Linked DNA regions of Sus scrofa. The main gene of each other region encodes a partner of the protein of the gene in region 3 in a complex. Links are inferred from orthologs where the notes say so. Each region holds a gene or a part of one and is shown on either strand. Other genes may lie near its edges.

Evidence for each region.
Region 1: STRN (region 3) and PDCD10 share a complex: the UniProt entries of both Homo sapiens proteins name them as parts of the core of STRIPAK complex. The link is inferred for Sus scrofa from reciprocal best matches to the Homo sapiens genes STRN and PDCD10.
Region 2: STRN (region 3) and STRIP2 share a complex: the UniProt entries of both Homo sapiens proteins name them as parts of the core of STRIPAK complex. The link is inferred for Sus scrofa from reciprocal best matches to the Homo sapiens genes STRN and STRIP2.

Annotation. Positions count from the first base shown.
Region 1 is NC_010455.5:106,556,089-106,560,361, reverse strand, and holds the start of PDCD10 (programmed cell death protein 10), read left to right. Parts: upstream 1-1,411; 5' UTR 1,412-1,551; exon of another isoform or gene 1,552-1,556; intron 1,557-2,147; exon of another isoform or gene 2,148-2,341; intron 2,342-2,605; exon of another isoform or gene 2,606-2,778; intron 2,779-4,273. UniProt on the Homo sapiens protein: Promotes cell proliferation. Modulates apoptotic pathways. Increases mitogen-activated protein kinase activity and STK26 activity. Important for cell migration, and for normal structure and assembly of the Golgi complex.
Region 2 is NC_010460.4:19,231,671-19,235,255, forward strand, and holds part of STRIP2 (striatin-interacting protein 2), read right to left. Parts: intron 3,318-3,585; coding exon 3,082-3,317; intron 2,566-3,081; coding exon 2,500-2,565; intron 1,808-2,499; coding exon 1,744-1,807; intron 659-1,743; coding exon 587-658; intron 1-586. UniProt on the Homo sapiens protein: Plays a role in the regulation of cell morphology and cytoskeletal organization. Required in the control of cell shape. Calmodulin-binding scaffolding protein which is the center of the striatin-interacting phosphatase and kinase (STRIPAK) complexes.
Region 3 is NC_010445.4:103,248,420-103,252,677, reverse strand, and holds the start of STRN (striatin), read right to left. Parts: upstream 2,853-4,258; 5' UTR 2,709-2,852; coding exon 2,475-2,708; intron 1-2,474. UniProt on the Homo sapiens protein: Calmodulin-binding scaffolding protein which is the center of the striatin-interacting phosphatase and kinase (STRIPAK) complexes.

The DNA.
Region 1 (4,273 bases), on a different chromosome or scaffold from region 3:
TTCCGTCGTCTTGATTATTCCTGACGATATTTGCTTCTTTAACAGAGATCTCTTTCAATTCTAGGAACCTGCAGTATAACCGCCCTGGAAAACAGGTCGGTAGCAGGACAATCTGATAAAACAATGTAAGGGGTAGATAGTGAAGAAGAATGCAAAGTTATTTTCCTAGTGAAAGAGTTCTGAAGTAATTTTATATCAATGACATTTTTTTTTAACCGGCTACGCACCTATCTAAATATCACCCTGTCCTAAATTAGTAGGGTTTCCTCAATCTTAAAATCTTCCAGAACAGTTTTAACGGTACAACTGAAACCAAAAACACTAACCACGCCCTTTATACCCAGAGTCAAACCACCTTTTGCTTTTTATCCTCTCTCCAAGTCCAAACATGTACATCTTTCACCTAAAAGGGTTTGCACCAGTTTCCTAACCCGAGTGAGAGACTCTTAGCTGTGCCTTGATATTATTCCTATTGGGAGACGCTTTCTCCCAGGCAGAGCAGACGCCCAGAAGTGGCACCCACGCTTACCTCCCACACACCTGCAACCCCTGGCGGGATGCTGGAGCTAAGGCTCCGAGGACTGCGCTCCGCTCCTGTTCCTGCTCTCCTCTCTCCCGGGAAACTACAGTCCAGGCTGCGCCTTCGGCTGCTACAGGGACCCAAGCTCCGCCTCTCCCTCCTCTAGTTGGCGAATTCAGCAGCTGTTGCTCCTCCCCCGGCTGTTCCGCCTGCTGCCCGGTTGGAGGCGGCGGGAAGCTGCTGCCCTGGTACCTTCGCGCTCCTAGCACTTCTGCAGCTGTCCTATCGCTTTCCTTCCCCGGGGACCCTTCTCCCTTCACTCAGTGGCTTGACACCTGGCACAGGGCTTCCCGCCCCGTCCCGACACCTACGCGAGGAGCCCGGGCTCGACCTATCCCTGACTGACCAGCAGGTCTGGCCGCCCGGTGTGCCTGGTTCTTGGCCGCTTTGGGGGAAACTGCTCCTCTAGCTAGGGCGCATCCTCACACCGCGTCCTCGCTCCACCAGGGCGATTTCTCCCCCCCCCCCCCCGGCTTCCTCTCAGGTTCCACAGCTCAGGCGCCCCATATTCCCCATTCGGAGCTCTTCCCCCGCCCCCATTCCTTCCTGGGCTCCGCTAGCCCGCCCCCACAATGGGTGAGTTGACTGCGGGGCCGACCCTGCATCCTGATTGGCGCAGGTGAGACCTGACCCCTCCCTTCCTCTTCTTTCATTTCACCCTCTCTCTTCTTCTCACCTCCTCCAGCAAAGGCAGGGAACTCTATTACTATTGGTTGAAACTGTCTCCACCCATCACCTTAGGCTCTACCGCAGGGCCTGACGGGAGTTGTAGTCTCTTATGTGCAGGAACTGCCGACGAAGCCCGCGAGTGGGACTACGAGTCCCCACAAACCCCTGCGCGACTCCGGCTGGGCAGGATTCCGGACAACGCCTGGTTCCTCTCGGGTCCTTCCGGCGTCGCCGGAGTGAATTGATCCGGGAGTTGAAGAGGGCTCCAAAGGTGGGAAGTGAAGTCAGTCCCTCAGTTGCCGGTAAGGTGAGGCTGTTCTGTCCCAGTCCCCATAGCGCCGCGCGGAGCAGAAGAGGTCTAGGGTCACACGGGAGCCGTGGCTGAGGCCCTTGGGCTTGGTTCTGGCAGGCGGAGCGGACGGGGCTGGGAACCGGGCCCTATGGGCGTAAGCGAGGTTACCCTACGCGAGTGGCGTAAAGCGGGTTTGTAAATGCCGCCTGCCCTGCTCGGGCCCGAGCGCCTCCAGGAAGTCTTCTCTAGGTGGGGGCGGGAGGGGAAGGGCGAAGTTGGCCTCTGGTGCCCCCGGAGAAGGGAGAAGGCGGATGTGCCTGGGGTGGGGTCCTCTGAAGATGTGGCTTGGGGTGAGGAGGTAAGGGTTTTCCCCCTGCTTTAGAAGTAGGATAGAGAAAAGAGCAGAGAAAGGAAGGGGCGATTGGAGTCTGCTTTTGAGGTGACTCGGGTTGTGTCCTTCGAGGGAAGAGGAGAACTGTAGAAGGAAGAGTCAGATGTTGACAGAGATCTACTGATTCAGTTCCAGTTTCATGATGTCCCTCTAAGGAGGTAATTTTGCCCCATGTAGTAAAGATTAACACTATTACACCTTTACTGTTTTCAAAGGCCATTCACAGTGCTAATGAGGAAACTGAGGGGATAAATGACGTGCCCAAGGACGCACAAGTAGGGACTGATCTTCTGAATCTAATCCAGTTGTAATCCAGCTTCTGAATCAGAGCCACCGCACCAGACTGAAAGTGTAGGAAGGTTTTGTTTTTTGAAGAGGGTGGAGGAAGTTGCAAAGTAATGCATTTTAGGTATGTCTAAGAACCTCTCTGTGAGGTGAAGAAGGTGTTTTTTTGTTTTTGTTTTTGTTTTTTTGAGCTGGGAAGAAATTTCTCAATAAAAAAAAGCATGCACTCTGACCTTTAGGAAAAATAAGGAGAATCAGTTTCAATTTACCTAGTTTGCTTGTTTTTTGTGGTTTTTTTTAGGGGTTTATTAAGTGACTCTGCTACCATTTTAAAGGATAGATAAATGGGATGGGGAAAGTCAGATAACAGTATGTCTCATCCTTACAGGTGAAAGACACCCCTTTCCCTTCCTACCATAGGACCGTTTTTACTGTTTTCGCTGTCAACTGAGAGCAATGGGATTGGAATTCTTTCATGAAACTTATTTTACATTTTTACAGCACTGAGAAAGATTTTAGTGAGCTTATTACTAGGAAAGAAGATACATTGCTTTTTTGGAGGTAACATCACATTTTGTTGTGTTGATTTTGATTTCCCCCTCATTTTCTTGACTAGTGTGTGTTTGTGTGTGTTTATAATAACACCAGGCTCTTGTGTATTTTAATTTTCTTAGCATCATCTATAACTTTTAACTCATTCTTATTTTACGTTGGAGAATGGAAAAATAGGACATTTGTGTTTTATTTTGAACAGAAAGCAGTGTGCTTGTTCCAGTCTATCCTTTATAACTGTTAGGACCAGTTACAGTTATAGTTCCTAAATATTAATATTATACAGTTCTTTAATAGAATTTCAGGATTATGTTCATTGGCATCATGATTTCTTCATGATAAGTTTCTGTCTAAGAATCAGGTATCTACTGATGGCAGATAATCAATCATGGTTTACTGTTGTATAACTGATGATTGAAATATGTTGTATTTTAAATATACTCTGCATTTATTTAACTTGTACACAATGTGTTTAACTTTTGAATCCAAAGACACTTTCTAGGATCAGAAGTACTAATACATTCCCCTAGGATTGAAGTGAAGATGGTCTGGAAATTAATATGACTTAAAATTAGAAGAGAGGTGTGATACTATAGAATGAAGTAAAATCAGGAATAATTAGCACCACGAGTAAGTAATGCAGTACACAAGGAAGGAAGACCAACTAAACAAATGGAAAATTATGTGGGGATAACTGGCTCAGTGCTGTGTTAGAAGGGTGCGGTAGTTTAAGTAGACCATAAACTGAATATGAGTCAGTGATAGTAAAACAAGAATGTTAATCTATTCTCTATATGGCAGTGTAGGCATTTGTTTTTTGTTGGAGGAAGTGAGAAATGAGTTCTTCTGACTTTTGGCATAGAGCTGGGAGCTTGTGGAATGAGCTTTTGAACCAAAAGTCAGGAAAATTTGGAAATCAGTAATATAGGGCAGTTTGTCTAGTATGTGTTAGTTTTTGTCCTTGGTTAATTCTACCACTAACTTCTCTTCATCTCTGAGGTCCCGTGTGTAGTTTTGCTCTTTCACCTATGGTGAATGGTGGAATAATGTTTCTGTTGTATTTGTCATCTTTCAGTTCACATGCTGGAATACAGTGGTCATTTTGGATCTCAGTGCATTGAATAATTTAGGGTTCACAAAATGATGTGTACCTTTGTATTTTTATAGTAATTTGCAGTTCACCAATGTCCACATGTGTTCCTATTTTGAGTTGTAGGAGCCCTGTGTCAGCTTTTGGATATCATCTAATACAGGGCTTGGGATGTGTACCACATACATCTATCTTTGAAGACATAAGATCTTTAAGAACAGGATGATCATCATTGTATTCCTAGTAGGTCACATAATTGAGTATCTGTTTACACAGAGAATAAAGAGGTTCAGATTGGTTAAGAGGAAGGTGATGTAACTAGTAACTTGGTGGGACCAAGACATAATCCAGATGTTATGACTATAGATCTTTAATATTGTGGAATAAAGACTCAGATTATTTATTTTACATGAG
Region 2 (3,585 bases), on a different chromosome or scaffold from region 3:
TATTTTTAAAAATAAATCAGATCATGTCACTCCCTGTTTAAAATCTCCAAAGGCTCACCTTTGTACTTGACCTTGAGCTCTCTATCTTTTCTTACACATCCTGTGTAAAGTGGCCCCAGGCCATCTCTCTGAATCCCAGGCCCCAAACCCTCCTCCTTCTCCCTGCACTTCAGCCACACCAGCCTTCATTCACCATCTAAGACTCTGAGCTTGCTGTCACCTTGTTACTGAGGCTGTCCCTTCTGCCTGGAGTGTTCTTTCCTCTCATGTTCTCACGGCTAGCTCCTCCTATAACTCGGATCTTGGTTAGCCGTCACCCTCTCAGAAGTCTACACACCCCCACCGCCAATCTAAAGTAGTCTACTACGTTATATGTCATCTTACTTAAATTTTCTTTGCCATATCTATCCTTCTCTGAAAGTCTTCCTGTCTCCTTAATTATTTATTACCCCTTTTCCCAAGTTTAACATATTGTGAAAGTAGAGACTTTGCTTTGCCCAGCCTGAGTTAAGAGTCCAACAGCATACACTTAGTCCATGACAGCACCGCAGACAGATTTCCTCCTGTGCAGCGCCCCCTGACTCACCAAAGACATGGGGCACTTCTCCAGCTCCTCCTCATTCTTGATCTGAACATCTGCGATGGAGATATACTTGTGCTGCGGAAGAGAAGACATCAATAAGGGCCTCGATCACATGTGTACCAGCCTCTCGCTTAACTTCCTCAATGACAAGGAAATGTCCTGCTTATGGGTCTGTCACCTCAAATAGGAAATGTCCTGTTTATGGGTCTGTCACCCCCCATAGACCATGGACTCTTTGAAGGCAGGAGTCTTACTCACCTTTGCAGCATGAACACCAGTAAAGTGCTTTGTATTCAGTATTTGTTTATTCCACGTTTCCACATTGGTTGAAGAGCAGCAAATACCTTAGCATTTTTTTTTTTTTTTTGTCTCTTGACTTTTGTCTTTTGTCCTTTTAGGGCCGCACCCATGGCATGTAGAGGTTCCCAGGCTAGGGATCTAATCGGAGCTGTAGCCACCGGCCTACACCACAGCCACAGCAACGCCAGATCTGAGCCGCGTCTGCGACCTACACCACAGCTCACAGCAACGCCAGATCCTTAACCCACTGAGCGAGGCCAGGGATCAAACCGGCAACCTCATGGTTCCTAGTCGGATTCGTTTCTGCTGCACCACAACGGGAAATCCATACCTTAGCATTTTAACTTCAACCAAAGTGCAAGCGGACATGAAGGCCCTTACCACTGGACCACTGCCCTGAGAGTTTTGCTGCATGTGCGTGTATGTGTGTGCAGGTGTATGAGTGCATGTGTGCACAGAGTGATAATGGGAGGGGGTAGGGCTCAAGGTCTGTGGAAGGAATGTTTACTCTTACTTGTGCTTTCACACACTTTGGAGTAAACTGCTACTCAGTCTTGGGCCTGTGGAAGTTAGTGAGTCTCTAAGGAACAAAGTGAGAGGAGAGGAAATGAGGAGTGGGAGGAGGGCAAAGGAAAGAGGAAGAAAGGAGAACTTTTTCATCTATTTGAATGCAGGACACTGCATAAGTAGGGAGACACTTGATTTTAACCTCTTCAGCCAAAATGCCTACAGAGGAAATACAGAAGAATAGGTTCAGAACATGTCTGGTGGAGGAGCCCCACCCAGGGCCCAGGAGCCGAGTCATCCCACTTGCCTTGGTCGCTCCCTATCTCTGAAGACTGAGAGCCCACCCTGGTCACCTGTTTGAGGGTCTTCACACTCTCATGGATGGGCCTGGGTAATCCAACCAAGGTATCTGTGTCCCTGTGAAATGTAAGACATGCCAGACCATAAGGGTCAAAAGTACAGAGAACTCCCGATACCCCCTGGAGTCACATGGACTACATCACTTTCAACATCTGGTACTCTGGAGCTTTCTCTGCAAGCTTCCTGGTCACCCATCACTGCTTGAGGACACAAAAAAGAACAATGGTACAGAGATGTGTCCCTGAAAATTAGGATTTTTGTGTAGTCTTTTGGGGACCCACCTCTAGGAGCAGGATCCTATTTAAAAGGGCATGTTGCCCAACAACACTTTGGACAGTGAAACAGCAGTAATGGCGGCTTCTCAGTTTTGTAGCAGCCAGTGAAAGGACTCGTGAGGCTGGGGAAATGGGGAGACACTGAATCTGTTCTGACCATCACTGCTTCACAGAACTCTGGCCCATCAAGAAGGGCTTATGGGGACCATCTAACAACATTCTGATGAGGGAACTGAGGCATAAGAGGGAAATGACTTATTGTTCAAGGTTCTACATCTAGCTCAGAACATAAAAGTTCTAGGAAACTGGAAGGAAAAAATTCCATGGCAAAAACTCAAAGCAGTCACTGGAAGTGGCCCATGGCTCTGGGTCGTAATCACCACAGCCAGGCAACATCTCTCATTCCAAGCCACCCACTCCTCTGGTCCCCTAAGAACCACACTGCAAGCCAGTTCTGACTATCCAGTCACTTACTGCCCCAGAGTGAATCCGATGAACTTGTTCCTGCTCATCTCCAAGAAGTGCTCAATGTCTTTCTGTCTGAGAGGACAGTGGAGAGCCAAATCCCAGAGAAGGGAAGAAAAGCAAACCTTGAGATAATCTTACTGGGCTTCCACCCTTCCAGTTGGAGAACTGGAACAGTAGGGGAAGGCAGCAACCAACAGAGGGAACTTGAAACCCAGGAGTTCTGATTCCCAGCCAGCTTTTTTTTTTTTTTTTGCCTTTTTGCCTTTTCTAGGGCCGCTCCTGTGGCACATGGAAGTTCCCAGGCTAGGGTCTAATCAGAGCTGTAGCCGCTGGCCTTCGCCAGAGCCACAGCAATGTGGGAACCGAGCCACGTCTGCAATCTATACCACAGCTCACGGCAACGCCAGATCCTTAACCCACTGAGCGAGGCCAGGGATCGATCCTGCAACCTCATGGTTCCTAGTCGGATTCATTAACCACTGAGCCACAACGGGAACTCCCCAGCCAGGTTATTGAGCCTTGACTCCACCCTGGGCCTTCAGTTACTGACACCCCAAAGCTCAGGGTCCCTGGTGATATCAAACTTACCTGACCTTTGGGGCCCAGGGTAGACCCTTGGGAAAGGTCACTCGCTCAGCAGAGAGGGGTGCCTGTGAAGGTGGAGGTGGTACTAGAGGGTCCTGCTCTAGCAAGTCTAACTCTCCATCCAAGGTTCGTTCTCCATCACCGGCGGACTCCTCTTCCTCTTCTGCGGCTGGTTCCTCAGTCTTAAAGAGATCTCTTTCGTTGTAGATGTCCAAGCTGTCCTGCTTAGTAAGGAGTTGCTGGGGTGGGGCAGGAGGGCAAGGAAGGGCAGAAGGAGAGAGGGAAGGTGTACAGAGATCTCACCTGGACATCCTTGTCTGAGACCACCCCCTCCGCAGGCTGCTAGACTTCAGGGAACATGGAGTAAGAACCCACCTCTAGTGACAACATTCCCTTCTCATTGCAACCCTACTGTCCCCACCAGGCCCAATTCCAGGACAAGCAGCTCTCAGGCAACCACACCAATGGCTGGGAAACAGAGCATGGATAATCTCAAAGTCACAGTTA
Region 3 (4,258 bases):
ATTATGATTTATATTCTATCTTCAATTTCTTTCACAAATATAAAGCTCAGGAATAATCTTGACCATTTTTTTCCCATAAATTACCTACTCTCATTTGAATGGTGCTGGGAAGGTGGGAGAGAGATTGCCAAAAATAAAAAGAGAGTTTTATGTTAACAAAGATGGACAAGGGGGCAAGAAATGACGAATAAGTTTTTGGCATAATGTGGCCAGTTCCTTACTCCCAAGATCTGAAGGACGGAGGATATGGTGTAAGCAAGCCAGGGAGATGAGAGCTTGGGTTGCCTTTCACAACTCTGCCCAGGCAACTTGAAAGAGCAGGACTGACAGGTTCCTGAAGAGAAAAATCAGACCTAATCTTAAAAGTATTTTTGTTGACTCTGGTATTGACTTAAGAAGAGATTTAAAAATTAAAAAGATGATACCAACTGTTCCAAATTTCATTACCATTCATTCAATTCTTATTTCCTACTAGAAAGATTCTGATGGAAAAAAGAAGGGATATGGTCGAATTTAATGATGTTGATATAAAGAAATTATTTTTAAAATATATATTCAATTATACTAATAAGGAGGTCAAAAACCACAGATTCCTGGAAACTCCCTCCTCCCAAAATGCCTATTTGCTCTGTTTAAAAACTATGCAGGAATTCCTGTCATGGCGCATCGGAACGAATCCGACTAGGAACCACGAGGTTGTGAGTTCGATCCCTGGCCTCGCTCAGTGGGTTAAGGATCCGGTGTTGCCATGACCTGTGGTATAGGTCATAGACATGGCTTGGATCTGGTGTGGCTGTGGCTCTGGCATGGGCCAAAAGTTACGGCTCTAATTAGACCCCTAGCCTGGGAACCTCCATATGCCGCAGGTGTGGCCCTCAAAAGACAAAAGACCAAAAAAAAAAAACCAAAAAACAAAAAACTATGGCACATTTTCTAAGTTTCTCCATGGATGCTTAATTGAACTGGAGCACAAACCAAGATACTGTAAAAATGTAGTGCCCTTAGTATAAGCACCAATGGGAAACCTACTTGAAGTTTAACATTTGCCATAAATAACCCAGTAAGTAGTGTGTGTGTATATATTGGGGCAGGGAGGGGGTAAGGTAGAGAGGGCAAAACTGAGGAGTAACTACAGTTACTCAATAAATACGCATTCAATAAATACGCTGAATAAATAAATGATGAAACTGAAGTTCAGAAAAGTTAAAGGATTTCCTCAAGGTCAAAGAGCAGGCAGCAAGCACAGCTTATACTGTAACCCCTTCTGCTTGCTCTTTCCACAACCACTTGCACTACACCAAAGCAGCCTGTTACAGCACATGATTCTATTTAACATGATTGTTTCTTCTTTCCTCTTAAGTGCCAAAGAAAATACATGGTACCAAAAAAAGTGACACAGTGGGTAGCACTTTAACTTCAAGTGTTTCACCAACCAAAACTATACTCAGATTTCACAAGCATACAGGATTAGCCAGAAAGACAGAAAGGCAGAGCCACTCGTAGTTCTTTAAATTCCTTGTGAAATTAGTGTATGCCTTGGAAGTTTTAAAAACAGCCACTGAAACCTACTTACCAGTTCAGAATGGCCTGCAAAGTATCAGCCTCACTTTCATTCTTCCAAGATCCCACAATAGCTCCTCCCTGGATATACTTTATCTTGTAGATTATGCAAGGAAATGTAACCAACTTTGAAGCTCCTTTTAGTTCCTTTTAAAGTACAAGTCAGTCTCACAAAACCCTGAACATAAAATTAACCCTTGGGAAGTTTTAGATTCTGAGAACAAGAAACCATCTCTGAACCATTATCTGACTGTGATTATCTATCTAGATTCTTCATTCAAAATCCACGAGTCTGAAATATCTAAAAGAAACGCGGGATGGGATGAGGAAGAAGTAAAAGAAGAAACATTTACATATATAAAAAGGGAGCAGATATTCCTAGTAACACTTTGACCCAACGGCAGCTTCTTGCCTTAAAGTCAAGGCCTCACGGATACAACTTCTGTTGTCTTCTCTGATCGCCTTCCTCACAGAGAGGCGCCAACTGTCAATACCTTTTCCAGGCATCTTCTCTAGACCTAGGAGGGCCACTCACTAGGATAGGGGATGATTTGCTCATCTCTCAAAACTACTGTCAGCCCAATTAGTAAACTGAAAGGGAAGACCTAAAATGTGGAATGGCGAGAGAGTTCAAACAAGCCTGAGAGTTAAGAGTGGGAAGGAGCAGACGAAAAGGTGCGGGGAGGGTAAACAACGCATGGGGGGGGGAGCTGGGAGTGGGAACCCGGGTCGAGGAAGTGGGGTCACCTAAAGGCAAAGGTGAAGGGAGGAAGGGGATGAGGTTCTGGGTGGGATGGGCTGGAGCAAAGGGGGAGGGGACGAGCGAGCGGAGCGGGGGAGGGGGAAGGGTCCGGGGCGGGGCGGAAGAGAGCGGAGAGGCGGGATGAAGACGGCCAGGCCGGGAGGGTCTTTACCTGCAGCTCCGCCCGCTCTACTTCCCACTGGGCTCTCTCCACTTCGAAGCGGGCCCACTCGTGCTGAAGGAAGTGCAGGATTCCCGGGAGGCTGTACTGGGCTCGCGCCGCCCCCGCCGCAGCCGCCCCGTCGCCGGCCGCGGCAGCCTCCGCCAGAGGCCCGAGACCCTTGGCACCGCTGGCGCCCGGGTGGTTGTTGCTGAAGAAGACGCCGGGACCCGCCTGCTCGTCCATGGCGGCCGCAGGAACCCGGGGAGCTGCCCAGGCGCCCAGCAGCTGAGGCAACGGCGGCGGCCAGCAGCGTCTCCTCCTCCCTCCGCCGCTCCCCGCCCACACCCCAGTCAGCAGGGAGCAGCCGCCTGGGCGCGGGGGCCGGCCGAGCTCGGGACGGGCCGGGAAATGGGTCAACTGCGGTGCGCGGGCGGCGCGGGGCTTGCTGGGAAATGTAGTCGCGGGGCGTGGTGCCGGCGAGCACCGCCCGGGCTGCCTGAGGGGTTGCGACCGGCTGCGGCTCCACCGCGGCCCCGCCCCCGGGCCCGCCCCAGCCCATGGCGGAGAAGGGGCGGCCCCCGGCGGGGAGCGCGGGTTTCCTCTTGGTTAAGCAGGGGCTGGCTGGCGGTCCTCCAGCCTCCCTAGCACGCGGAAGTTCTTGGGCGGCGCTCACTGTGGCGCGCATACACACACACACACAAGGCGCTCACTGTTGCAGACACACACACACACACACACACACACACGGAAGTTACCGCGCCGAAATGCCAGCCTAAGCTGCACATCTCCTACGGCTTCCTGGTAGTTCTGTTAAGAAACAAGCTCAAAGCAAGCTTCGCCGGTCCGACCCCATGGCCCGGGATTCTCTAGCCAGCACGCTCGGACCTCTCCCTTCTGCTCTGTCTAGAGTGATTCTCTGACCCAAGACACTCCACTTCTGTCCATCTCCTTATCGCGGTCGTTCCTGCCTTTTTTCTCGCTAGAGGTTCAGTCAAACCTGTTGCCTGATCACTTTTCATTTAGAAGGAACTAATCATCTCTCTGTCCTGAACGCAACACAGCAGCTTTCTGTTTCTTGCAATTTTTGGTTTGGTGACACCACATCTAAAACAGGGCTCTGCTTCACCTCCTTTATAGCTTGCAGTAAATCCTGTAAACGTTACAAATATCCAAGGCTCTTTTATTTCGAACTCATTTTTCCTTATCCCTGAGCAGTCGGTACACATTTCAACAAATATTTGACTGTAAGTTATCTCATTGGGGATATAAAGATAAATGACACAGTTCCTGTCTTCAAAGGCAGACTGGCAACTATACAATCAATTCTCGCAATGCCCTAAAGTTACACTATTTAAAAGAACAAAATCCCTTTCTACTCCCTAGAGCTATCTTAGGTATCCGGGCACCTCTCCTTTTTCACTTGTCCGGTTCCCAGTTTCTTCCACGTTTCACTTGCAATCTGGCAATAGTATTAATCTACCAAAGGCCCATCAAAGTCCTTTCAAGTGTTTCTCTCTAAATGTTATCCTTCTCCCAAGTTCTTGAAATTATGTCACTTATTAATTCACACTACAATGATAATGAAAGGAAGGGACCTGAAAAAATTTAACAAGTGAAAATGAAATTAAGCACTTATTTTGTCCCTACAAAAAGTTATTTGTAGTTCTTTTGTGGGATGGGCTTCTGGGATATCAAACCTAATGGCCATGGAAAAAAATATAAAAATATAGGCTAGTGAGTGACATGTCAGGGAAGGACATCCTGTCCCTGTATTCCCCCTCCCCCTCTTCCCA